7 linked regions of the Danio rerio genome follow. The main gene of each other region encodes a partner of the protein of the gene in region 6 in a complex. Links are inferred from orthologs where the notes say so. Each region holds a gene or a part of one and is shown on either strand. Other genes may lie near its edges. The genes, in order: snrpd3l, lsm6, lsm8, lsm3, prpf6, sart1 and snrpf.

What was found.
Region 1: sart1 (region 6) and snrpd3l share a complex: the UniProt entries of both Homo sapiens proteins name them as parts of the U4/U6-U5 tri-snRNP complex. The link is inferred for Danio rerio from reciprocal best matches to the Homo sapiens genes SART1 and SNRPD3.
Region 2: sart1 (region 6) and lsm6 share a complex: the UniProt entries of both Homo sapiens proteins name them as parts of the U4/U6-U5 tri-snRNP complex. The link is inferred for Danio rerio from reciprocal best matches to the Homo sapiens genes SART1 and LSM6.
Region 3: sart1 (region 6) and lsm8 share a complex: the UniProt entries of both Homo sapiens proteins name them as parts of the U4/U6-U5 tri-snRNP complex. The link is inferred for Danio rerio from reciprocal best matches to the Homo sapiens genes SART1 and LSM8.
Region 4: sart1 (region 6) and lsm3 share a complex: the UniProt entries of both Homo sapiens proteins name them as parts of the U4/U6-U5 tri-snRNP complex. The link is inferred for Danio rerio from reciprocal best matches to the Homo sapiens genes SART1 and LSM3.
Region 5: sart1 (region 6) and prpf6 share a complex: the UniProt entries of both Homo sapiens proteins name them as parts of the U4/U6-U5 tri-snRNP complex. The link is inferred for Danio rerio from reciprocal best matches to the Homo sapiens genes SART1 and PRPF6.
Region 7: sart1 (region 6) and snrpf share a complex: the UniProt entries of both Homo sapiens proteins name them as parts of the U4/U6-U5 tri-snRNP complex. The link is inferred for Danio rerio from reciprocal best matches to the Homo sapiens genes SART1 and SNRPF.

Annotation. Positions count from the first base shown.
Region 1 is NC_133196.1:14,700,351-14,704,325, reverse strand, and holds the start of snrpd3l (small nuclear ribonucleoprotein D3 polypeptide, like), read right to left. Parts: upstream 2,801-3,975; 5' UTR 2,684-2,800; intron 835-2,683; 5' UTR 827-834; coding exon 701-826; intron 595-700; coding exon 402-594; intron 1-401. UniProt on the Homo sapiens protein: Plays a role in pre-mRNA splicing as a core component of the spliceosomal U1, U2, U4 and U5 small nuclear ribonucleoproteins (snRNPs), the building blocks of the spliceosome.
Region 2 is NC_133176.1:39,344,495-39,348,754, reverse strand, and holds the start of lsm6 (U6 snRNA-associated Sm-like protein LSm6), read right to left. Parts: upstream 2,801-4,260; 5' UTR 2,707-2,800; exon of another isoform or gene 2,484-2,706; coding exon of another isoform or gene 2,459-2,483; intron 2,359-2,458; coding exon of another isoform or gene 2,354-2,358; coding exon 2,260-2,353; intron 1-2,259. UniProt on the Homo sapiens protein: Plays a role in pre-mRNA splicing as component of the U4/U6-U5 tri-snRNP complex that is involved in spliceosome assembly, and as component of the precatalytic spliceosome (spliceosome B complex).
Region 3 is NC_133179.1:10,099,675-10,103,762, reverse strand, and holds lsm8 (LSM8 homolog, U6 small nuclear RNA associated), read right to left. Parts: upstream 2,801-4,088; 5' UTR 2,641-2,800; coding exon 2,610-2,640; intron 1,120-2,609; coding exon 1,079-1,119; intron 747-1,078; coding exon 619-746; intron 504-618; coding exon 413-503; 3' UTR 238-412; downstream 1-237. UniProt on the Homo sapiens protein: Plays a role in pre-mRNA splicing as component of the U4/U6-U5 tri-snRNP complex that is involved in spliceosome assembly, and as component of the precatalytic spliceosome (spliceosome B complex).
Region 4 is NC_133197.1:33,572,435-33,576,432, reverse strand, and holds the start of lsm3 (U6 snRNA-associated Sm-like protein LSm3), read left to right. Parts: upstream 1-1,198; 5' UTR 1,199-1,261; coding exon 1,262-1,282; intron 1,283-1,475; coding exon 1,476-1,586; intron 1,587-3,998. UniProt on the Homo sapiens protein: Plays a role in pre-mRNA splicing as component of the U4/U6-U5 tri-snRNP complex that is involved in spliceosome assembly, and as component of the precatalytic spliceosome (spliceosome B complex).
Region 5 is NC_133198.1:7,083,188-7,086,687, forward strand, and holds part of prpf6 (pre-mRNA-processing factor 6), read right to left. Parts: intron 1,244-3,500; coding exon 1,081-1,243; intron 993-1,080; coding exon 874-992; intron 794-873; coding exon 715-793; intron 1-714. UniProt on the Homo sapiens protein: Involved in pre-mRNA splicing as component of the U4/U6-U5 tri-snRNP complex, one of the building blocks of the spliceosome.
Region 6 is NC_133196.1:30,364,959-30,367,784, forward strand, and holds the end of sart1 (U4/U6.U5 tri-snRNP-associated protein 1), read left to right. Parts: intron 1-1,882; coding exon 1,883-2,004; intron 2,005-2,088; coding exon 2,089-2,107; 3' UTR 2,108-2,326; downstream 2,327-2,826. UniProt on the Homo sapiens protein: Plays a role in mRNA splicing as a component of the U4/U6-U5 tri-snRNP, one of the building blocks of the spliceosome. May also bind to DNA.
Region 7 is NC_133182.1:19,364,115-19,368,129, reverse strand, and holds the start of snrpf (small nuclear ribonucleoprotein F), read right to left. Parts: upstream 2,801-4,015; 5' UTR 2,614-2,800; coding exon 2,611-2,613; intron 1,750-2,610; coding exon 1,624-1,749; intron 1-1,623. UniProt on the Homo sapiens protein: Plays a role in pre-mRNA splicing as a core component of the spliceosomal U1, U2, U4 and U5 small nuclear ribonucleoproteins (snRNPs), the building blocks of the spliceosome.

The sequences.
Region 1 (3,975 bases), about 16 Mb from region 6:
ATCATCAACACTGAAGATCTCAATTTAAAACACACATTACCTAAAACCAACAGTCAGTTTTCTGAAAATAAATAACTTGCACTTTTGAAAACAAAATAAATTATTTTCTGTGCTTTTCATATTAAAAGTATAAAACTAGCCATATCTCTTTTAAATAAAATAGCTCTTGTATATCCTGTAAATAATATTTTGAACAGCAATTGCATTTCTTGCATCTTTTGTAAACAAATATTTTAATGTAAACAATAGCTTAATGGAAAATATGCCGTCTCAAGGCATCTCTGGCGCAGCTTACAATCATTGCCAATGCAATGCAAAGTAAGGCTCAAAAATTACACAATATGACTGCAAACACTGTAATGAATTTAAAAAAAAAGGTAACTTTTTTTAAAATAACTAACCTTGAGCTTTGAGAATAGCAGCTTTTCCTCTACCGGCTCCTGCTCCTTGGTTTTTGTTTTTCATGCTCTTCAACATGGGGGCGTTTTTCAACATGTCAGGCAGAATGAGAAAGCGGATTTTGCTGCCACGGATGTAGACCTGCTCGAGCTGTGACACTCTGCCATCTCGATAGGTCACTGTAATGTTGGACATCTGATTCGCAGCACAACAGAAACGCAGTCAGTTGCATGACTCGAGACAACAGACATTAAAAGAATGCGATTTTAGTGGGATAAACTGTTCTTCAGTTCAGCAGTACCTGGCAGTTCATGTTATCCTCTGCTTCGATCAGTTTTCCCCTGTACACTTCACCTGTGTTTGTCTCACAGGTCACAATGTGACCCTCTGCTTCATGCAGGACTTTGATGGGTACGCCAATAGACATGTTTTGAACTGTGGGACAAAAAAAACAAAATTACCAAAAAAATATTATCTATACATCTATATATCTATCTATGTGTGTGTGTGTGTGTGTATATATATGTGTGTGTGTGTGTATGTGTGTGTGTGTGTGTGTGTGTGTGTGTGTATGTGTGTGTGTGTGTGTGTGTGTGTGTGTGTGTGTGGTGTATGTATGTATGTATGTGTATATATATATATATATATATATATATATATATATATATATATATATATATATATATATATATATATATATATAGACAACAGACACTGACCAATGGTTATAAAAGGGATAGTTCTTTCAAAGTGAAAATTTGCTGATAATTCAACCTCATCCCATCCACAATATTGACGACAACATGCACATCATTATGTCACCGGGAGACCTTAATGAAAAGGCTAAACATGTGCACAGGCTGGGGGTTTAAGGTAATACTGTACATAATGCTCAGTTTCTTCCACAGACTGATGCTGTAAATGCCCCCCAAACACAGTTGTTGTGTGTCCTATTTAATGCAAATGAGCTACTGCTTGTAAGAGGGTGGAGCATTTACAGCATGCGTCTCGTCTCGGGCACACAAACCCTTTCTTTGGGTTTATCCGATGACTGCTGCACTCATGTGACATTACAGTTCTTCATATTAAGGAGAGTTTGTTATTTGTTTGCATTTTTTACATTGTCAGGTCAAATTCCTGCTATACTATTTGTTGCCTGTGTACTAAACTTTTATTTAGCATCTTTACCCTCTTACTGCTCTAAATCTATCAAATAAAGTTTAGGATTTTTTCCATCTTACCAACCAAAACACACACGGAAATGCATTAAGATCAGTTCAGTGTATGTTTCTTTCAGATGAAACGGCTCAGACTTACATTTTAGTCAAACCTATTTTTGAGCAATGTTGCTCGGCAATATTGCAGAGTGATTCTGCTTAGCTACTTTCCTATTGATAATGGGTATCAAAATTGTATTTGGATCCTTCATTAGCTGTCCTGTGTCTTACTTGGTTTCTCAATGATAGCATCACTACAACATCTTCCAACAACCATGCTCAAAATTGTTCTGGTATCATCCCCTTAATGTCTTTGATATATATATATATATATATCAGTAAGCATGGGAGGAGCTCGTAACGTCACTGAATCTGAAGTAGACTGCTTCTGATTAATGAAGAATGTGTAAAAAGTGAGTGTATATTACCATTACAGCCTTTTTGCTTATACTGTCGAAATCAGAGTGTAGTTTTAACTCAAATATATAGTTATAACACATTTAACTTTAGCTTTTGACTGTATATGTTTTGTGAATATCAAAGGTTACCCTTTGACTTGGATTTTATTTATAAGAGCCAGGTTTAGTTTTATGAAACAAAAAATAACTCCCAAAGTCACCTCTTAAATAGAAAAAAATAATATGTCATATTTTTTGAGTAATTTAAAATAACCGACTCGTTAGAACGATTTATTATACCTTTTTTGCTTTTGATTCAATAAAATGAACCGACTCTTACGAATCATTCGTTTAAGAATCATGTTCTAAACATGTAACGTTAGCTGGAAAGAATCCACGCTAGAATATGAAACACCATAAAATCATTTGGCTACGGTACTTGTAAAAACTGACTTATAACGTTACTGAACTCAATAACAGGATGAAGCGATAGACATTAATGAATATCCAAGATTGATCTCTCAAACGAGTCGCGTGAATGCAAACAATGAATGACCGAAATATATGTTCCTCTACTAAATAATCGAAAAAGGACTGTATATTTTAGCACAGAACCACGCAAAATACCCCACGTAGTTATCAGGTTATAATCATAAAGCATTACAGTACCTTGAATCTGCAGATTCGTTGAAACACAGCAGCGGAACAACGTGAGCTTGTGCGACGTTTTCCCGCTCCCACAATGCACCTGAAAGCAAAAGCCCCGCCCTTTCCTGAAAACCAGTTGCATCCTGGGAGGTGAAGTCCGTATTAAAACTACGCAGCAAACATCTCAAGACTCGCACACAAGAGGGCAGCATCGAATTGTGCATTTTACTTAAAATAATTTAATTTAGTGTTTTAAATCTGAGTCAAATTAGTGTCACATTCATAATAAACAGTTAATCTAAGTAATTTGATTTAATTTTAAATATTCATATTGTAATTAGTTTGTTAAATCTATCTTTGAAATCCAATATATGAGAAGAACTGTAAATAAAATCGATAGAATGAACCTATTAAAACAGTTTTTTTTAAATATTGTATATTGTATTATATACAGCTATGATATAATATATAAGATGTTTATTTTACTTTTATTACAATTATTGAATTATTCACATTGTTAAAAACAATTGAATTTAATATAATGTCAATTTTATCTTTCAAATTAGTATAGCAATATTCATTCATTCATTCATTCATTCATTCATTCATTCATTCATTCACTTTCCTTCGGGTTAGTTCCTTTATTCATTAGGGGTCACCACAGCGGAATAAAACGCCAACTTATCGTACATATGTTTTACACAGGGGATGCCCTTTCAGCTGCAACCCAGTACTGGGAAACACCCAAACACACTCATCCACACTCAAACACTACGGCCAATTTAGTTTATTCAATTCACCTAGAGGAAACCCACACCAACACGTGGAGAACGTGCAAACTCCACACAGAAATGCCAACTGACCCAGCCAAAAATCATAATTTCATTATTTCATACATTAAAAATATATAAGTAATTACCATAATACACTGTAAAAAATTTGTTGCTGTTTTAAATTTTTAAGTTGAATCAATTTAATTTTAGTAATTTCAACTTACATCAATCAAACTGATTTAAAGGGGACTTTTTATGGCCCTTTTTACAAGATATAAAGTTTGTGAAATCTTTAAAAGTCTCTGATGTCGTTTTGGTTACTGTCGCTTTAAATTCAAATGATATTGTGTTCCCAGCCCTTTTTTAAAAAGGGGAGCCACAAATGCCTGTGTGTCAGCATAGTGGCAGATTCAAAAACAAGACTAATGTAATATGCTAATGAGGGACAGATTGTCACTACAAAGAGAGAATGTCAATCAAAGTTTTTCTGCAGACTAAAATTAATATATTTTTACCATTAGAAGGTGATTATATTTACAG
Region 2 (4,260 bases), on a different chromosome or scaffold from region 6:
TGCATGGAAATCAAAAAGTTTGATAACAAATATCCAAGTGTAAGAAAATGGTGGCAATACTAAAGGAAGGTTTCAGACTAAAAGCCTTAGATCAAGAGCAGGATACAGCAACTGAGGTAAAGTTGGTTTTATATTCGCACATTTATTTAACGACAACTTGCGACACGCTCCCTATATTGTTTCCCACGGTACTTTGAATATTTGATTTGAAATCATAAGTAAGTTTGACATGAAAACAACATAGTACTATCTATTTGACTGTGAACAATGTTGTACTTTTATAGTCATTTGCTGATATGATTTTACTATTTAGAATTTTCAAAGAATACTTTTCTAAAATTATATTATTAAGAAAAAAAGTGAGAATATGTGAATACAGGGCTCAACAATAAGGACTGCCCAATGGCCCGGGGCTAGTGTGCGAGATGCTAGGGACATTAAACAGGACCGTTACTGGCCTAATCAGGTCTTAAAATTAAGAAACTGTTATTTCAAGCCTTTAAATACTACCTTCTCAGTGAAGTTGTAAACACCATATTGCTTTTCGCTTCCTCTTATGTGATTGGATGATGTGAGCATGTTATTTTTTTCTAAAACTTGGTAAAAACCAGTACAGCAAAGAGGCGGCAACTTCAAATTATTAAGCTAAAAGAAAACGTCTGTTTCTAATGTCTTGGGTACAACATGACGAAAAAAATGTGATGTTCTGCACAGTTTGCCGCAAGTTTGGCAAGTCAGCCACATTTTGTTAAATAATTTTAAAGTGCAATAAAATACCTGCACATTTTCTATTATTTTTTTGTTTGTTTGTTTGTCTGCATTACACTATAAATTTTGCTTATTTTAGATTTATTAGCATTAAATGCTACATTCGCAGATGTTATTTTTGACAGAACATTTAAAATATGTGGCTAGGATATTTTTTATTACAGCTTTTCTCAGTCGCTTTTGTGCGTTTCTCACAAAACTAGTGCATTTCTGCACAACAGTTAATGCATTTCTCAAAACAATTAGTTTAAACTGCAAAACCTAGATGATAAACTGCAAAAATGCGTCACATGCTCAAAATGGATAGTTCATTCCTCAAAAGCAAGTATTGATGTTAATCAAAGTGCCAGTATCATCAAAATGAAAAGTCCTGACACCATTGTTTATGAACAAGATAGTCACATGGCTTTGTCCTGTTTTCATGATGACAGTTTACTCTGTACATTTTTTCAATGCAAAAAAAGTCAGATTTTGTTGACACTTCCTGAAAATGCTCAAGACAACACTGCATACTATTTGCACAGCCATTTGAAAACTACAGTAAAGTTAGACATCACTGCATTTAGTGAGGAATCGGAGTACAACAAACTGAATATGTATGTTTCACATTTTAACTGTATATACTCTTTGCAATTCTAATTTATTCACACCATTGTGCAAAAGAATACATACACCCTTATTTACAACAAACAAACTCCCTTTGGGTAGAGTTGTGCACAACTGTACACAATATTGCAAAACATATAGGAACTGAAACTAAAATACACACAAGTCTATAAATCAATCATGAAATTGTTCAATTTTTTAGACATTATCAGGAAAATAAAGATTTAATTTTTTTTATAAAATATTGCTTAACAGATTTTGACAACTAGTTCAACATTTTTGTATGTAATGACTCAAGTAATGAAATGAAAACTATTTGTTTTATATGGAATGACTACTCAGAATTCACAAGTTTAGTTGACATAAGCAGATGATAATGTTATAAATATCAGAGAGTTGTATGAAAGTAATTGATGCATGTCCAAAAGCATCTGCAATGTGTTGGAAGGAATGAGAAACTGCTAATAGGATGTGCACAAATGACTAATTATTTTGAGAAATGCATTAACTGTTGTGCAAATGTAAATAGTGCTGTGAGAAATGCACCAAAGCCACTGAGAAAAACTGTAACTTGTTATATTTGGTCAGACCAGTGAAAAGTTTCGGGCCAGTAAAAAAAAAATCTTTAGCGTTGAATCCTGGAATATAAAACTTACTTTACCTGACACAACTTTATCCATATTTAACTTGCATGTGGCAGTGAACTTGTAATAAATTACAATAAGGAAATTATGTTGTTTTCTTCAAGATTGACTTCCAAACCATCCTATTTTATTACCTCCAACACAACAAATATGATCAGTCCCTTCATGCATACCCTCGATAACTTGTAAATGATAAATGTAAAATACAAACATAAAAACAACCGCATATTTCAGTTTGTACCTCTGTAATCGACACCAGAGTTCAGTTTCACCACCACTGGCCTCCCAATGATCTGCTTCAGGAAATCACTTGGTGTCTGCTTTCGGAGACTCATTTTAGCTGAAAATGAATGACAATGAAGTTTATGAATAGCTCTTATAAAAATGAACCATGGCTGCATTGTTAACAAAAAGGATGTGACAATAACAACAAAACGTACTAAAGACGTTTATTTTAAACCACATAAGGGGTTTCCAGAAGAGGTTTAACCTTATTTGTTTGGAAATTGCCGGTGAACGTTATCGATAAGCGGCTAATTTAGCATGCTAGCATTCCAACCCAACGTATCACTTAATAAACGTGTCATCGTATATCTAGCAAGGTAACTACAGTGCTGCAGTTTTTTAAAACCCCACTAACGTCGAATGCATTCTTATATTAAAGCATACAACATTTAACGTTATTTACCTATGTCGTTTAGCAACGTTAACCGCACGTTTCGACTGAGCGACTGCTGACCAATGAGCTCGTCCGCTTATTCTAGTTCCATGGTGTGTACACCATTCAGCCAACCAGATGCTTCGTTAGAAAGCCAGTGTACGGAAGCCGACAAGATAGCGTTATCTCCTTTGACAAAGAATGCGTAGTGGAAAAAAGAGCCAGATCGACGGTGGCAGTAAAGACGGGGAATCGTCGCTTTTGCTACATTAGGACATAAAATCGTTAGACAAACAGAAGAATGACAGATGAGCTGATAAAAATGGACGAACAAACAGACGTATAGAAACCTAGACTGACAGACAGACAGACAGACAGACAGACAGACAGACAGACAGACAGACAGACAGACAGACAGACAGATAGATAGATAGATAGATAGATAGATAGATAGATAGATAGATAGATAGATAGATAGTCTGTCTGTTTGTCAAAGTATTTTGTGTACATTGTGTATAATAAGCAACTTCAGGTTGTAGTTGAGGTGTGGCTAAAACATGTAGGAAAAAAGAAGATCCTGTATAGCCAAAAGAGAGAGAGGGAGATGGGGAAGAAAAAGCTGTCTTTTGTTCACAGGCAGAGGAGGGGATGCACCTGAGAGACAGAATCATAAAGCACTTCTGGCGCATCCAGACAGTTTGCTTGTTAGCAGGGCATTGGTAGCCCTGAGGAGGCTAGAGGTTAATTTGGTATCTGGTGCTGTGTTAAACTAAGGTCAGCGCTACAAGTCCTTAAGTCATAAACAAGTGTGGTTAAGAGCCGTGTACACACCTAGGCACGAGTTAATGAATATTCAATGAGTATTTTTCCCCTTGTTGCCAGAGTTCACATCCTAAAGGAGGGTTAAGAGAGAAAAATGTGATCTAATGCATTTTCCTATCAAAGCAATCATTCATTTAAGGAAAAAAAGGAAAGAAATTGAACGAGTTTACAGATTTTTCGGTTGTGGCACACAGCACCGGGATTTTCAGTTGTAAACAAATATGGAATATCATGACAAGGAAGCTGACACAAGCACTATGATGCTTTCTTGACTACTGGAAAAGCGTGAATGGCTTGGCTTGTTAAGCGATACTGAATAAAACACAATAGAGCTCTACAGACACAGAAAGCATTTCACAAGCTTTTTATCTTTCAGTTTTGCCTGTTGCTTGGTAGAAGATGATTCTGTCCGTCTCACATAAAGAGGGCATTTTAACCTTAATGTGCTGTCCTTCAAAAAGTTTTCAACTTAACATTTTGTAGACTGATGTGAATGTGCATAAAATTTTGACTGGGAACAAATAAAAAAAGCATTTGCTTTTCCTCAGTCAGCACAGACAATCCACTCTCACCGCAAGCCTGTGAATAACCCCACAGCTCCTATGAAAACAGTAGCGTGTTGGTAATAACCGCCCAGTGATGCCAGATGGGACTGTTTTCACCCTGCCTTCAAGACGCTGGTGAGCTCAGATGGACAGTGGCACAGTTGATTTGCTGGTACAACCCGCCTCACCTTTCTAAGCCCCCAAAGACCTGAGAGGG
Region 3 (4,088 bases), on a different chromosome or scaffold from region 6:
AAATCGTCATGAATGCAATAAAACAAAATGGGCTTTAAATGCTTTTCAATTTCTTCATGTAATACGGAAATTTCTTTTGACTTTTGGGTGATAAAATAGGCATTTTGGAGATGGACCTAATCTTACTTTTACTGTTAATTTATTACTTTTTTTGTTTTTGACTGAGAATTATCCAGAAAATGGATACTTACCAATATTTTCCCCTTTATACAAGTTTTTAAAAAATTTAAAATCTTGATTTATCACTTTTTGTTTTATTATTTCAACACCCGTAAAAAACAAAACAAACAAAAAACAAATATGCATTCAGTCTTTTTCAAGATTAAAAAAGCAGGTAATATTGCTGCTTATAGATGCCTGCAGATTTCCTAGGGAAAGTTTTCAACTGGATCAAAATGAAATTTTCTGTCCATCAATGCACCACAGAATTGAGTGGTTCTGCTCTTATGTTTCCAAGATCCAGCGCAGAATCGGTTTCTTCATCAATCTCACCGATCACAGCCCTTAAACACAAAATAATTTCCCATTTATGTCAACCAAATAAAAGAAAAAAATCATAAACCTTGCACTGTTCTGCACAACATAAACATAATTACAAGAAAGGAGTTTAATACTCACACATTATCTCCTCTGACAATATACAGTCCCAGAACCACCTGCTCGACCCCCTGTGAAGAGCTGAAGACCCGCTCGTGGCTTTCATCCAGGATGAGGTTGATTGCCTGATCAAAGCCTTTTAGCGTCCCCTAAAAACAGCACAAGTCAGTAAGCGATCTTCTTCATTTCTGCACACAGACAATGATTAATTGGTAAGTTCACCAAAAAACACAGATTTTAATATTAATTTATTCACACTCAGGCTATTCACAATCTAGGGGACTTTTCTCCTCAGTTAAACATAAAAGACATTTAAACAAAACAAAAATACAAATGAAAAATATGTGTCGGAGCTGTGAGTTACAAGTGATAATGTTTAGATTTTCCTAATACAGTCAAACACTCCCAAAGTGTCTTTGACTTGCACTTTATTAAACACAAAGGTGGATAACTCCCTTTAAAGTACACGAGGAAGACTCACCACGATCATTCTGCCATCCGAAGTGACAATAGCAACAGTCCCTTGAAAAAAATCACAGTCAAGGAAATTTCAAGCTCATTTTATGTATGCATGGTCACTCACTGCGTTTATTTGTTCTCTGGATTTGTGTTTATATAGTACACATAATGTGTGTTCAAAATCTCTATTAAGTATTTTATTCATTGACTGATTCATATTCTCTATCTATCTATCTATCTATCTATCTATCTATCTATCTATCTATCTATCTATCTATCTATCTATCTATCTATCTATCTATCTATCTACATGAATACAAATGGTCATGGTCAAGAAATTAAAACTTTTCTAGATTGTTTTACATATATAGATTATATTTATATACAGATTAACATGAATACGAACAATCAAATATACTTATTTTTTACGAAATATTTAAGAAATGAAAATGTTTCTAGATTGTTTTACATTTCTAAATTATATTTATTTATAGATTAACATGAATAAAAACAGTCAAATATGCTTACTTTTAACCAAAAATTAAGAAAAGTTTTCTAGATTGTTTTACATATATGTATTTTATCTATAGATTAACAAATTCAAACAGTCAAATAAACTTATTTTTACCGCAATTTTAAGAAATTAAAACGTTTCTAGGTTGTTTTACATAGATTATATTTATATATAGATTAACATAAATACAAAGGGTCATATATAATTACTTTTAACTAAAATTGAACAAATGAAAACTTTTTTTAGATTGTTGGATTGCATCTATATGTAGACTAACATAAATGCAAATGGTCAAATATACTTAATTTTATGCAAAATTTAAGAAATAAAAACTTTTCTACATTGTTTTACATATATGGATTACATCTATAAATAGATTAACATAAATAAAAATAATCAAATATACTTATTTTTACGAAATATTTCAGAAATTAAAACCTTTGTAGATTGTTTTGCATTTATAAATTAGATTATATGTATTTATAGATTAACATGAATGCAAACGGTCAAATATACTTATATCCAAAATGTAAATTTTTTTTTTTACTTTTCTAGATTGTTTTACATACATAAATTATATCTATATAGATTAACATGAATACAAACAGTCAAATATACTTATTTCTACCCGATATGCAAGATGTGAACACATTAATATGTAATATTTACAGTAAATAGTAATATTCCAGTTATATGATATGTCTTAATTAAATATTTGAAGACTCGTTTTCATTGGTCCAGAAAAAAAAACTCAAATATTTGACAAAAAACAGGCATCTATGAAGTTAATATCACATCCAGATAACCGATAATCATCTTGAACTGATCTATTTTGCTCAAGAAATGTATGTGCGTACATTAATATGCTATAACGTGAATTATAACGACGTATGATCATCAAAAGCTAATTCACTTGCTGGCGCGCCATATATATAAAGTTAGACATTTCACGCTCAAACACACACAATCAACAACAAAACACGGGGTATCGATCAACAACATCACCGCCGTGCTGTTCACGATGCGTATTAAAGGATACGGTGAATGTAACTCTCGAGAGCGGTGGACATCTTTTCTGCTGGTGCGTGTTTTTAAATCCTCCGGTGCTCGTTCGCTAGCTCCTACAACGAAAAGCATTCGTTCTTGAGCCGGAAGCGATAACGGAGAGACTCGAGTAGGCGATGACCGATTGAGCACAACTTCAGGCAGAACTAATGGAGTTGGAGCAACGAAAGCTGTCATGAGTGAATTAGTATTTATTTAATAAGCTTTAAATAACTAGTACGCGACAATAGAACACACATTTTAATGCCAGGGATGATAGAAGATAAATATAGTAAGAGTACAAATAATTAAACATTAATTAAGAAGCAAAACAAACACACGTACATAAAAATAAGCGTATAAATAATTAAATAGATTTCTTACAATTACACACGTTTACATCAATCAAAACTGTTAAAAATAGACCACAAATGGACAGTGCTAATGAAGTTAATTTTATAGTTTAAACAAATTAATGTGAAGTTTAGCCGTCGTGAGGGAGTGATGCGGTATTTGTCCAGCAGATGACGCGCTCTGGAGATTTCTGGTTTCTAAGGAAGAGAGCACAATACTGTTTCTAACGAGTAACTTTAGAGATTATAATCAGTTCTTGCTGAAAAGGCTAACTGTTTGAGGGTCAAAGTGGGGGTCGATGGAAACACTGGTGGTAATGATGACGACGGCACTTACACAAAAGTACAATCAATGGTTGTGGGATGATTTCAGACGCTAATTGTAATTGTACATCGCCATTATGGGAATTAATGCTGATTGAACTATATAAAAGTGCTGTAGTGGTTAAAAATAGTTGTTATACGGTGTTTTGCTACACACTAGCATGGAAAAAATAATTAAAACTTGTTAATATTCGTAAGGTACTGAATGTTTAATAAATTTGATGGAATTGTATGGTGGTTCTGGAATTACGTTGCTATTACATCAGAATCAGGGACTGACCTAACCAATGATGTAATGTAATGTGTATTTATATTATAGATCTTACACCAAAAGCGGTTCACAATCATGAGGGGGGTCTCTCCACACCACCACCAGTGTGCAGCATCACTTGATGATGCGACGGCAGCCACAGGACCACAGTGCCAGTGCGGACACCACACACCAGGTATTGGTGGAGAGACAGTGATAGAGCCAATTCGGTGGATGGGGATGATTGGGAGGCCAGGCCATGATGGGTAAGGGCCAATGGAGGGAATATGGCCAGGACACTAGGGTTACACCCCTACTCTTTACGAGAAGTGCCATGGGATTTTTATTGACCACAGAGAATCAAGACCTGGGTTTAACTTCTCATCTGAAAGATGAAGCAAGCAACCGCTTAGGACCCCAAGAAATTTGGGGGCCCTCAATAATTGCCCACACTGTAAAACGTTTCACATTGGTTAAACTTACAAACTCAAGTTCAGCAGCTGCCTTGAAAATGTGAGGCAACAACTTAGAGAGATTCTTTGTTTCA
Region 4 (3,998 bases), on a different chromosome or scaffold from region 6:
GAATGTCTCAGTAGTCCTTCAGCGTTAGAAGGAATGGTAGGCTATAAAATATTTTCTCAGCTTACACAGTCGATCTACATAACTGAATAGCAACACAGGCACAGGTTACTGCATCTATTTTTTAATATATATATATATATATATATATATATATATATATATATATATATATATATATATATATATATATATATATATATATATATATTTAACTGACTGTCACACATTCTCAGCATTTGCTTTTAGTTGAATTTCAAGTGCAGCAAGCTAAACTTGTTATTTATTTCTTAAAGAAATATTATAATAATTTACTGTCATGTTGTGTGACATGCAAAAGAAAATATTTAGAAAATTTTAATATTCAGAAAGTTTTTGTTTCCAATTTTTATTTGTGCTCTAGACCCAGGCCTTTGCAGAAATGTTAAACTTTTTAAAATTTATAATGGGTTTAAAATTCATTTAAAAAAAATAATCTTAATTTTTTTTCCACTTTTCTCATTTTTTTTCAGTGTGGTCAGTTTGACCTCAAACACCATAAGTTTTTTTTTTCTTTTTTTTTTTTACACATATAAAGCAACCAAATCAAGTCCAGTTGTGACTGTTTTGTTAAAGGTTGGACTGATGTGACCCCAACATTGCCTAATTGATAAAGTTGCAATTTCATATGCAAAATTGCATATAAATAAACACCAAATAGCCTACTCTTGATAACAATGCAATCCAGATGATCAGCCTCACAACTTTCACTATACAACTAAATTGTCTAATTTTCCTTTGCAGGAAATGTGAGATGGGCTTTCCCAGATATGAAAATGCGGAATTTAAAGGAAGCAGGAGGAGATGTGTTTCAAATCTAACAGGGAGGGGGAATAGTACTTCCATACTCACAAACACAAGCTTTTTTCAGGAATGTCTGTGCGATCACTGATCCATCAATGTAGAAAAGGGATGAAAAATTATAATTTTCGTAATTTAAAAAAAATAAATAAATAAATAATTGCACAGTGACATCCGGGAAAACTCCCGATCATAGCCTATGTGTATATCTTTGGCTTTGGATGGTCACAGCTTGCATTCATTTCAAAGGAGCGGTTCCCTGTACTAACATGGTGGATCTATTGACGCATTCCTTCCAATAGACAACAACAGGGTAGGCGACATCTAACGTATATATCTATGTCTAACAGGAAGCAGATGCATTTTCCGTCTAATGATTTGTTCGCGAGAGAAACGGAAAATGCATTCTGGGTAGATTTGAAAGATGGCGGACGACGCTGAGCAGGTTTGCAATTTTTGCTTTGTATAAATATTTCGTTAGCTGTTTGATTATCGCGGAGGTTAATCGTATTAATTGTGTTTATTTTTAACTAGTTGAACACACGGGTAGCCTATGCTAAAGCAGCTTGTAACTACGACGATTGTTTGCATGGACATTTTCATTCAAATAAAATACATCACTGAAATTTACTTTACAGCAACAGACCACCAACACCGTAGAAGAGCCTCTGGATCTGATTCGGCTCAGTCTGGATGAGAGGATCTATGTAAAGATGAGGAATGACAGAGAACTGCGTGGCAGACTGCATGTGAGGGGAATACTACATTACATACTCTAAGTTAGTTATACTGCACGTGAGGGAAATGCCACATAATATACTGCATACGAGGGGAAAATACTACATTAAATACACGTTTCTACTGTACGTTATTGGAAAAAATACAACCTTAAGCATATTATATAACGTTATACTAAACCTGATTCAAAATACTACATTAACCATTATATAATGTTACATAAAGTTAGTTACATTGCACGTGCAAGAAAATACTAAGTTACATTGTGTATATATAAGTTACACTAATTATACTGCACGTGAGGGAACATACTACATTAAACATTATACAGTTATACTGCACGTGAGGGAAAATACTACATTAAACATATTATAGACTCTAGTTAATCTGCATGTGAGGGAAAATGCTGCATTAAACATTATTAAATTGCACTTGAGGTAAAGTACTTTTATAGATATATTGTTAGCCTTCACGTGAGGGAAAATTCTAAATTAAACATTAAATATTATAGTTAGACTGCATGTGCGGGAGAAATACTACTTTAGTATATACTCTAGTTCACTGGTTCCCAACCTTTTTTTGCCTGAGACCCCCTTTTTCCCTGGAAAATATTGTTAGGCCCCCCTCCACATTTAATGATATAATCGCTCATATAAGTTTGCACTAATAATGACAAAAAATATTGTTTCAAACAAAGCAAAGGTAGATCTCCAGGAACAGGATTGGCCACCCCTGCTCTAGTTAGACTGCGCTTGAGAGAAAAAACTAAATTAAACAGATTATACTCTAGTTATCCTGCACCTGAGGCAAACATTAGGCATATTATATTTATCATTATTATATTTATGTTCATTCATTCATTTTCTAGTCGGCTTAGTCCCTTTATTAATCCGGGGTCGCCACAGCGGAATGAACCGCCAACTTATCCAGCAAGTTTTTAGACAGCAGATGCATTTCCAGCCGCAACCCATCTCTGGGAATACTATTTATATATATATATATATATATATATATATATATATATATATATATATATATATATATATATATATATATACTAATTAAACTACAACTGCACATGAGGGAAAATACTTATATAAATATTATATACTCTAGTTATACTGCATGTGAGGGAAAATACTACATTGTAGTTATTATATACTCTATTTATACTGCACATGAGAGAAACTACCACATTGTACATATTATATACTCTAGTTCAGTGGTTCTCAAACTGTGGTACGTGTACCACTAGTGGTACGCAGGCTTCCTTCTAGTGGTACGTGGAGGAATAAAATATGTCATGTACATGCTACACACATTTCAAAATTGATAAAAATGATGTATATAATGTCATATGACATATAGCCTATATTTCTCATGTAATCTGCCACGTTTTTTTAACTGTGCAGAGTTGTAGCTGCTTTACTGGGCCTACAAGGCTATTGTATCTCAATACTGCTCATTTTGGTGGTACTTGGAGAGACAATTTTTTTCTGAGGTGGTACTTGATGAAAAACGTTTGAGAACCACTGCTCTAGTTATTCTGCCCTTGAGGGAAAATACTACATTTTATACAGACTCAAGTTCAATTATGTCTCTAAATGTATTATGTTCTGTTATTAAAGTCACATGAATTTGGTCTGTGGATTTTTTGGAGAAAATAAAGGATAAAAACATGTAAAAGTGAATTGATAAAATCTATTAAAATGTAATAATCAAATGTTTTATCCTAATAATTGACTACACGCATTAGTGTAGTATGTAAAGTGTTTAGTAAAAGAAAGGAAACATACAGAGGATTAAAATAATATTTATATTGTAATTGTATTTAGATCTAAAATACAAGTCTAAACTAATAGTCTACAGCAGTTCTAATGTGTTATTTTAACAGTACGTATGTATATATGAACAGTATATTGAAAAATCTGTTTGATTTTAATAACAAATCACAGAGATAAGGGATCAGAAAAATGTAAATGTTTTGTATTTTACAGAGGTAAATAAACTTATGGATGACCAAAAATGTACTGAATACAACTTCCTTTGTGTGAATTAAACAGCACAACCAAAAAGGATAAATGTTGACATAAATATACTTTTATTATTTTAATATTCATTTCTTTAAATATTTATTTTCTTTTATTTACCATATTTGCATTAACAGGGCTCGAAATTGCGACTATTTTGGTCGCATATGCGCCCGAAATTTTATCTATGCGACCTTAAAATATATTTGGGAGCATTTCTGCGAGAGCTTAAAATTGTTGTGTGCAACCAGTTTGTCTGCTCTTTGTCTGCAAAAATGCAGCGCTCGGGAATGGTTTAAAACAGTTATCATGTCAACTTGTTGCAGTAAACAAATCCAAGTCCGTAATGCTTGCCCTGCCTTTGCGCTCTTCTTATTGGCCCACCACTGCTCT
Region 5 (3,500 bases), on a different chromosome or scaffold from region 6:
GGAATTATTTTGGGAGTATCCAGCGGAGTATCATAACTAAAACCATAATATATTAAATAAAAAGTAATAAATTACTGAATAAAAACTGAATAAATTCTGATTTACACATTTACTCAAGTAAATAAACAGAATTAATAATGGGCTAAAAATCAGCAGAAATCTGCGGAATTCTGCTGAAAATCTGCGAAACATCTGCGGAATTCTGCGCGCGCAGATTCCGTGTGGGCCTAGTGATCGCTCAGTCAAGTCACATAACATGACGTACTTGGAAAATACTAACTTTAGAATATAATATTTAGAACAAAAGCTCATCATTACTAATACAATTTAATCAAATATAAAGACGTGATATAAATAAAGACGTGTTTAAATTGGTTCAATTAGTTAGAGACAAGTTACGTCAACCTCAACAATGGGAAGCAGGAGCATGACAGTACCGCGGTACTCTGTATCGTGGTTGCTGTATCGCAATATTTTGGTTCGGTTTGTAATATCGTTACACCCTTAATATTTACACTATGTTAATTGATAAATGCTGTAAAAGTTAGACAGATCATTCGTTCAAGTTTTGAAATAAATCATAACATTTAACTGATGGAAACCTGTTGCATAGTCTGATCCTTTTTTATTTGTCTTCACGCTAAACTTGGACTATTCTGAAGAATCTTAGGATTCTTCAACTTTTTTTTTGATATTTATAAAAGCCACACAAACCTTCAGGTCTGAGAACTGTTGCTGAATTTTAGGCCGCTCCATACGATACTTCTCAATCTCCTCTTTCTCTCGCAGCTCCCTGCAGACACATTAGTCAAATCAACCCAAACGCTCTACATAAACAGCAAGTGTAGACGACAGAAGAAAGGTCAAGCTCACCTTCTTTCTTTCCGTCTCTCATCCATTCTTTTATCCAGTGCAGCATAAATAGCGTCGGCCTCCTCGTCATCTTTCTCATACGGCCCGCTGGAGAACAGACTGCCCGCATAGCCGTTAAACTAGAGGATACAGGATATAGAGGCATAGATTAATAATATTCTGCTGCATTTTGGCACATCAACTCAATATGACGCCTGCGAAATGTACCTCATCATAATTGGTGTCGTTGAGATCCTCGTCATCATCATCCTGGCTTTTCTTCATTTGATCACCCACCGTCCTCTTCCCCGGAGGTGCGTGGCGATCATCAACTGGGTCATTGGCATCACGAGCAGGACCGATATCAGATCGTGTGGTGAAACCCGTGGCACTGCAGAGCACATTGAATTACAACTCAACAAAGAAATTCAGCATATGGTTTCCAATAGATTTTATTACATCGAAGACTGGAGCAAACTTCTTGCATTGCCATCTTGGTACAGGGTAGCGCTCCTTTGAAATGAATGCGGGACCAAGGTACAGTGGAGGTTCTGTGGCCATCCAAAGCCAGAGATATACACATATACACATATATCTATGATCGGGAGTTTTCCTGGATGTGAATATGTAATTTTTTTTTTTTCTAATTGCGAAAATTATAATTTTACATTATTTTTCTACATTGATGGATCAGTGACTGCATGGGCATTCCTGACAAAAAGCTTGTGTTTGTGTGTACAGAAATGTACTATTCACCCTCCCTGTTAAATTTAATCAAATCATGTCCTGAAACACACCTCCTCTCCTGCTTTCACTCCTCATACTGACGGAGGGAGCGATTCGTTTGTGAATGAATCCACCGAACGACTCTTTCACTAGCCGACATCAATACCAGTTTCTGGCAGCGCAGCATCTCGTTGTCATATTTCTTTTGCATTGTTTGTTATTCAACAAAAATAGCATAAGCCGAGTGTTTAGTGCGAGTTGGAGCTGCTTTGCCTTATGGTGAATGCAGTAAGTGACTATCATCCATAATGTTACCTGATTAGCACAAAAGTTCAGAACATACAAAAACAGAAAAAAAACTCAATATTACCTATGAAATGTTCTGCCTTTGTGCTTTGTTTTCTTTGTTTGGTCGTTACTACACCCATAGACAGCGCTAAAGTCCAGCATCTTCACATAATAACACTGTCTTGACTAGTGCGGTTGAATGACATTTGTTCTGGGAGCACTGTACCAATGTAGAGGCTCTATTGACGCATGCTCAGGGTCCCTATGCGATATCTAGTGTATACATCTATGACTGACAGCAAACTAACGGTTAGAGGGGCGTGACTAAACATTTCACACAAGCTGTCAAACTGACATCAGTGATAGATAGCCACTTGTAACATTCGCTTGCAGAACGTAATTTGGATAAGTGTGTGCGTTTGTTTGTATGTGGGTTTGTCGTTTCATGCATGTGTCGCAGGTACGAATGGCATTGGAGGATCCGCATTTCGTGCTGATGATGTTGCCTGCTGACGCTGGGTTTGCGCCACCAATCACTGGTTGGCGTAGCGTTTAAAAGCCGAGCCCAAACTGCAATGGCGATCTCTCTGTCTCTTTCCTTCTCGCCACTTCTCGCTCTTATTCTTTCTGTGGGTCTCTCTGAGGACAGTCTCTCTTGCGAGGGCTAGTCTGAGAGAATGTGTTTTGATTGTGTTTAATGCTCTTGTCTAAAGTTTGAGATTAATTTAATGTGTTTGCTTGTGAACTTGTCCTGTTAACTGACATGTTTGAGTGATACCTCGGAGAGGTGTAGGTGTGAGTAAGTCGTGCGATATACAAATACAACATTCAGATGCATATTTTGTATTAGTTCATTAGGTTCAGGAGAATGTGCTGTTTTCTGCATGTTTTGTTCTTAGTTAGAGCAGTTTAGTTAAGACGTTTGGTATGTTGAAGATGTTTTTTTTTTCATGCTTTTCTTTTTATATTTAGTTTAGTTTGGTGAAAACAGTTACTGAGTTTTGTTATATTTATTTCTTTGATTTAAGCGCATTCAAGTACTTCCTCTCCCCCCAGGTAATTCATCATTTAATCATTGTAAATATTTTTCTTTCATTGTATTATATATTTTCACTGGTTTCATTGGATGTATGGGCAATAAATAATTGCAGTGAGATTTGGTTTTCAGTTTATTTTTTTCTCCATCCGCTTGTCACACACATTAAACTATTGTATGTTATGTCATCTACTCCTAGTTTAATATAACATCTAAAAGAACGTAACACCCCTCCAGAGTGGAAAAAAGGTCAGATTTTTAAAAGAAGATGACCAAAACAAACACACTGATTTTTCCCCCCAAGTCTAACAATTTACAGCAGCAAAAAAAAAAAAGATTTTAAATTTTGATTTCACCTGGACTTTCAACGATATTCAATATATCAATAAGGGCTGAATGATATTGGAAAAATCTGTTGATAATATTCTATATATTTGAGAAATATCTTGTATTTCTGCAATATATTGTAATTTCTATATCTAATTTCACCAGATGATTTGAATAGCTCTATTTGGAAATACTTTATTAAAAAAAAAACGTGCAAATGATAAAACTTTTACTCCATTAAGGTTAAAGTACATAAACTCAACAAATCTCA
Region 6 (2,826 bases):
TAATATTTGGTTCATGAATGGGTTGGCAAAATTAACTGAAATGAGCATCCCTAACTGGATTGTTTGCACTTTGCAGGATTAAGTGTAAGATCATTTTACTTTGCTCAACCAGACGATTATACCAATTAAAAACGTCATTAGCTAGGAAAGGAGTGGTTTGTTTTAAAAATATATATTGTTTAAAATTTTATAATAATTGCTAAATACAATGTATTATATAAAATTGTTGTATTATAAATATGAATATAAATTAATTGACACTTTGACGCTACATATGGGCTTTGTTAAACTGTAAATGCTGCTGCTTCAGTGAAAACATGGAATTGGTGGTGATTTCTTTTATGATAACCCAATAGCATTTATTCATTCAATACAAAAATTATGCTTTTTTAAAATACTTTTAATAGTTTTTATTAGGAACAAATAACAAGTGGAAACAAAACAAATAATAATATTGATTAAAAACAAAAACAATATATAAATATACACATACATGTCTGTCTGTCTGTTTGTCTGTCTGTCTATCCATCCATCAATAACTCATTTCTAATAGCTGATTTATTTTATCTTAGCCATGATGACAGTAAATAATATTTGACCAGATATTTTTCAAGACACATCTATACAGCTTAAAGTGATATTTCAAGGCTTAACTTGGTTAATTAATGTTAACTAGGCAGGTTAGGGTAATTAGGCATGTTATTGTATAACGATGGTTTGTTCTGTAAACTATTAAAAAAATCTAGCTTAAAGGGGCTAATAATATTGACCTTAAAAGGGTATTTAAAAAATTAATAACTGCTTTTATTCCAGCCGAAACAAAACAAATAATTCTCCTGAAGAACAAATATTATTAGACATACTGTGAAAATTTCCTTGTTCTGTTAAACATCATTTGGGAAATGTTAATAAAAGAAAAAAAATCAAAGGGGGGCTAATAATTCTTACTTCAACTGTATATTTATTTACACAGACACACACACACACACACACACACACACACACACACACACACACACACACACACACAAATGCATAAATTCCACACATATGTACATACAAACATAAATATTACATTATCCTCTTCAAGAAATAAATAAAAAAAAAGTTTGCTAAACTTATTCTCAATGGTTCATAACCTCTAAAATTATGTCAATGTTAAAGTATGGAAAATTATATTGTCATTGTGGTGAAAGTCAGCCATTAACTCCATTTTTTTTCCAAAGATCTCTCTTTGTAATCAAAATGCATGTGTCATTATTTCAATTTCAAAGATGATGCATTTAATAGTTAATCAGAATGTGTAAAAACTCATTTAATATCAATTTAAGAGGGGAAAATATCCCAAATATGCGGATTTAAGTAATTACCAGCTGATATACAACACTGGATAAATTCTGCTTAATTATATTTAATAATCATACTTCCTATTTGGACAGATCATTTTTATTCCTAGAAAGTCTGAATGAGAAGCACATGGAGATTTCTGAATAAATAAAGAGATTCTTCACCCAAAAATACAAATGTACTCTCAATTCGCTCTCTTTTAAGATCTTCCAAAAAAAAAGAGGATATTTTATTTCTTATGTTCAACACAAAAGAAGATGCTTTGAAGAAAGATGAAAACCTGTAAACACTGACATCCATAGTAGAAAAAAAATACTATGGAAGTTTATGGTTAGCGATAAAAATTTTTTCAAAATACATTCATTTGTGTTCAACAGAAAAAAGAAACTCAAACAGGTTTGAAACAAGGGTTAGTAAATTGATTGATTTTTCTTTTTTTTCAGTATAGGGTGAACTGTCCCTTTAAGGCTGAGCTCTGTATACTATCATTGTTGTCAAACTATAAAGCTAATGTCCATTTTGCTTGTCCGTGCAGCTGCTGAAGAAGATGAGCAGCAGTGATACTCCTCTGGGAACCGTGGCACTTCTGCAGGAAAAGCAGAAATCACAGAAAACTCCTTACATTGTGCTGAGTGGCAGCGGGAAAAGCATGAACGCGTACGTATTTTATTTACACTTTCCTTTTCATTCTGTCTGTATTCTGTTCAGTAATTGGTTTTATCTTCTTCTTTTTGTTTACAGAAATACCATTACAAAATAAATCTTTATTCTGGAACAGAAGGACAGAAAATCTCACAAAATGCGCTCATTTTAGCTGTCTCCTAAACACAGTTGCAACTGGTGATGTATATACAGACATTGTCTTGTATGTGAATTTAAGTCCCTTATTTGATTTAACTTTTTTGTTTTGATTGACAGTTCTCTGTAGAACCTTATCTGTCTTGTTTTTTTCCCCTCAATAAAAACTGTTGCGATTTAAGACTGGGCTAATGTCATCTGAATATATATATATATATATATATATATATATATATATATATATATATATATATATATATATATATATATATATATATATATATATTTTTTTTTTTTTTATTTACACTGATTATATCTGGTGTGGCACAGTGGCTCATTGGTTAGCACTGTCGCCTCACAGCAAAAAGGTTGCTGATTCGAGTTGGCGTTGGTTTAATCCAGGTGCTCCGGTTTCCCCTCACAGTCCAAAGACATGTATTAAAGGTGAAATGAATAAACTAAATTGGCTTTAGTGTATGAGTGTGAATGTGAGTGTATGGGTGTTTTCCAGTACTGGGTTGCAACTGGAAGGGCATCCTCTGTGTAAATCATATGCTGGAATATTTGGTGGTTCATTCTGCTGTGGTGGATGAGGGACTAAGCCGTAGGAAAATGAATGATTATATCTTACAATGTTTTTCACTCAAGTTTAGATCAGTTCTGTTTCTTGTCCAATTTAAA
Region 7 (4,015 bases), on a different chromosome or scaffold from region 6:
ATAAAAACTTAAAATAGTTTAATTCTACCATCTTCGAAAGATTCACTTTTTTTTTTTTTTTTTTTAAATAGTTGCTTTAAGGCACAGGTGTCAAACTCAATTCCTGGAGGACCAAAAGCTCTGGACAGTTTAATTCCAACCCTAATTAACCACACCTGATCAAACTAATTGAGTCCTACAGTCGTTTGAAACCTACAGGTAAAGCGGCAGGCACACTGCACCCCTATAGACTTCCATTTATTAGCAAGTAAATGCCTTAGACAGGAAACGCAAGCTCGTGCCACAAGTTTCGCAGTTCGATGTGTTGGAAACTTAAAGCTTGGTGAACTCTGACCAATAGAAGATCAAAACACGACCTCTCTGTACAGAAATTTTAAATATGGTCAAATCGTAATCAGCTTGTTTAATCCCGCCCCTTTTTGCAGCACCAAACGGCAGAATTTCACATGCTCAAACTGTAGTGTGGGGAAGCAGGGTTGCAACTAAACTATGCAAGACTGCGGCCCTCCAGGAACAAAGTTTGACATCCCTGCTTTAAGAACTCTCCAGATAAAAATGGTTATCTAAAACATTTTAAACAGGGCATTGCAAAAGTATCAACTCGAGTTGAGTTTTATTGTCATTCCGCTACATCTGTGGACACACAGTGAAATGTCTTGCAGGACCACAGTGCAACATAAATAAACTATCATAAATATAAACAACCCTTATAGACATAAGAGCGATTTTAAACCTATACATAACTACATAGCAGAGCAGTAATTAACTATACATGTACTAAAGACCTTTTTGAGGGATGTAAACAATAACAATGGTCCTACTGTATTTTCAGTAGCTTCTGAGAGTCCAAAAAGTCCCACATATTGATAGTTACAATAGCTGTTATAATAGCTGTTATATAAGTTATGAATGAATCGCCTCTTGTTACAGATATGAATTGACAACAAGCAGGAAATATTCATGGGCCAATGGCATCACCACATTGAAACGGTCTATAAATAGTAAAAAAAAAAAAAAACTTTACGCATAACCTTAGACAGACTATACAAGTACTTTTATATAAGACAGAACAATATTGTGCAAAAGAGATCATTTAAGGTTGAAGGAAATGACCAGTTAAACAATTTGTGGTACAGTCACAGGTAAACATTGTTTTTTTTTTTTTATTAAGTCCTTGTAAGAGATCTAGAAAAACTTGCATTTAGAGAGATTAGCATTTCTACAGGTGGTTTGTCAAGCCCACTCACCTGTGTGAACCAATCTCAGAAATGCACAATGTTTTATAGAGCTATGAAGTGGTTGAAAGAGAGGGTCTGGTACAAATAGACAAAACTAGTGCAAGTGTGTCAAGGAGTGTTTATAAAGCCCACTCACTTGTGTAAGGCACACTCAGAATTGCTAAATATTGAGGTTTTCATATGAAGTGTATATGCTTGACAGCTAGGTTGCCATTACAATATTTACATTTTTGGCCACCTTCTGCTTTAAGCAGATGTCTGTGTGTGTCTAGCATCTCCATAATGGCATATACAACGGTATGTCTCGAGTTAAAAAGAATAGTTTAAATTTTCTTCCTACTAAGGAGCTGGATTTTCATAGAATCGTTAACTCTTTTAAACATACCTGCATGTTCATGTACCCATCCACTGACACCAGGTAGCCCTTGTACTCCATGCCCCACTTCAGCTTCACCATCACAGGCTTTCCTGTCAGACCATTCAGAAAGGGCTTTGGGTTCAGCGGCAAACTCTGAGGGAAAAGATCAGTGTTACACAATTAACATCATTCGAAATCAATCCCTAAGTGTCATTTTCAAACAATTCCATGTCAACATAATATTGTTCCTGAAGAAGTAAAATACTACAAATGTTGATGATTTTATTCTCAAGTGAGTGAAAAGCTTAGAAGAAACTTTAGCATAGCCTCCGGTGATGCTCAGTCATATTTGACCAAATAGAAAAAAAAAAAGATTTACATTTTGGGTTTTAGTTTTTTTTCTTCATCAGCTTGTTATAACTTTTAGTAAAAAGTTTTGACACTAGCCGCATGAATTTACACAAGCAAAATAAACAAATAATAAAAACAAAACAAAAACAGATACAATTGATATGACTTCATTTTAAATTGTAATGACAAATTCTCATTACTGTAGTTTGTGGTATAAAAAATCAAAACACGCATGCATACACACAATATATATATATATATATATATATATATATATATATTGTATAACTTCAATAAAACAATATAATAATTTACAGCATTAATTGTTTTTGGTTTCCACCAGAATTAGCTGCAAATAAGCATCAGTAATAGCAGAAAAAACTCCTTTAACGTTAGTTTTTATCTTTAGTTTTCCCACACATATATCATTTAATCGCATTTTGGGAGTCACCGACTAGGTTGTAAGAGAACAAGGAGGAACATTTATCAGCAAAGCTCAACATTTCTAACACAACACTGAAAATGACTGAAAACAACGTCCAGTCTGCGTTCCTGATGCTAACACCTAGCCGCATTATCAGCGTATTTATGAATGAAAACGTCTACGCTCTTTCGCCAAACTGAAGGTTTGGATACAAATAAAAGAGATAACGATGAACTTACCATGACTGGATTACTTAAGTAGTATTTTCAGACACAAAAATTGTTTATTTGAATAGTATAAGCTAATGCAGCACACTCGCACGCCTTGCCGCCGAAAGAGGGAAGGACTACGAGCGCACTTTGACCGCACGGCAGGAGAGAAGAGCGGATCTGCCCGCTGCGCCACTCGCTGGACAGGCGGGGAATAGAGCCGTGAATCCTCAGTTGAGCTGGAGTGGAGGTCTGAAATTAAAGAAATAGTTTATCCAAAAATAAAAATGTACTTACTATAAACTATTTCCGTTTGATGATGTCGTTGGCCCATAAACATTTCCTGCTTGTTATAAAACTGTTTCACAGCTGTATCAAGAGGCAATTCAACCATAACTTAATGTTAAAACAGTTCTTATAACATTATTTATCAATATGTGGCTCTTTTTAGATTCTCGGAAGCTATAGAAATTTAAAATGTAAAACAGGAAATACGTAAGGACCATTGTCTTTTGTTTAGATTCCTCAAAATTGTCTATATAGTCACCCTTGAGGGGTTTCTAACCTTAATGAGATTCTTTTTTTTCATTTGAAAACAAAAATAAGATATTTGGAAGTATGTTAAAACTGGTATTGTTGTTTCGAAAATGTTGGACACCGGTAACTATTGGCTTCTATTGTATTTGTTTTTCATCATATTATAGAAATGGTTACCAGTTTCCAAACATCTTCTTTGGTGTTCAGCAGAAGAAATAAACAAGTGAAGGGTAAGTAAATGAGAACATAATTTCATTTCATCACTATCCCTTTAAAAAAATTAATATGTATAAATTATTTTATATATTTATTTTGTACCATTTTTAACAACTCCCAAAACAGCAGCAGTGGATCATTTTATCATTTCATTCAACGAGAACGGAAACTTGCAATCATTTACAGTCTTTTAGATTTGTATTTGAAAGCACAACACATCTAATTTCTCTTTGATTTGTACAGTAATTTAGCTTTGCAAAACTATTGACCCTCAATTATATAAATAAAAAAAAATGCAAATATCCCACATCAATCATTTAACCGAAGACTTGCCCAGTAGGTTTTTGCATTTCATTACCATCTATTCAAAAGAGGTCATGTTTGAAATGTCATGTACAGTGGTGGATAGTGATGGACAATATTTTCTTCCCCAGAGAGGGTGTATATAGTTAGGTTAGTTAGTTAGCTAGCTAGTTGGTTAATTTATTTGTCCCTGTAGGGTAATTTCATTTGCAGTATACACTCACAGAGACAACTAACATTTCAAATTTGCCATTTATATAAATAAATCATGAAAAACATGGTACCCCTACTCTAAATAAATATCTAGACTACTGGCCATCAACTGCTACTGAGGGAGGAGGAATTTAAAAACTTAACTGCTTACGGTATAAATTAAGAT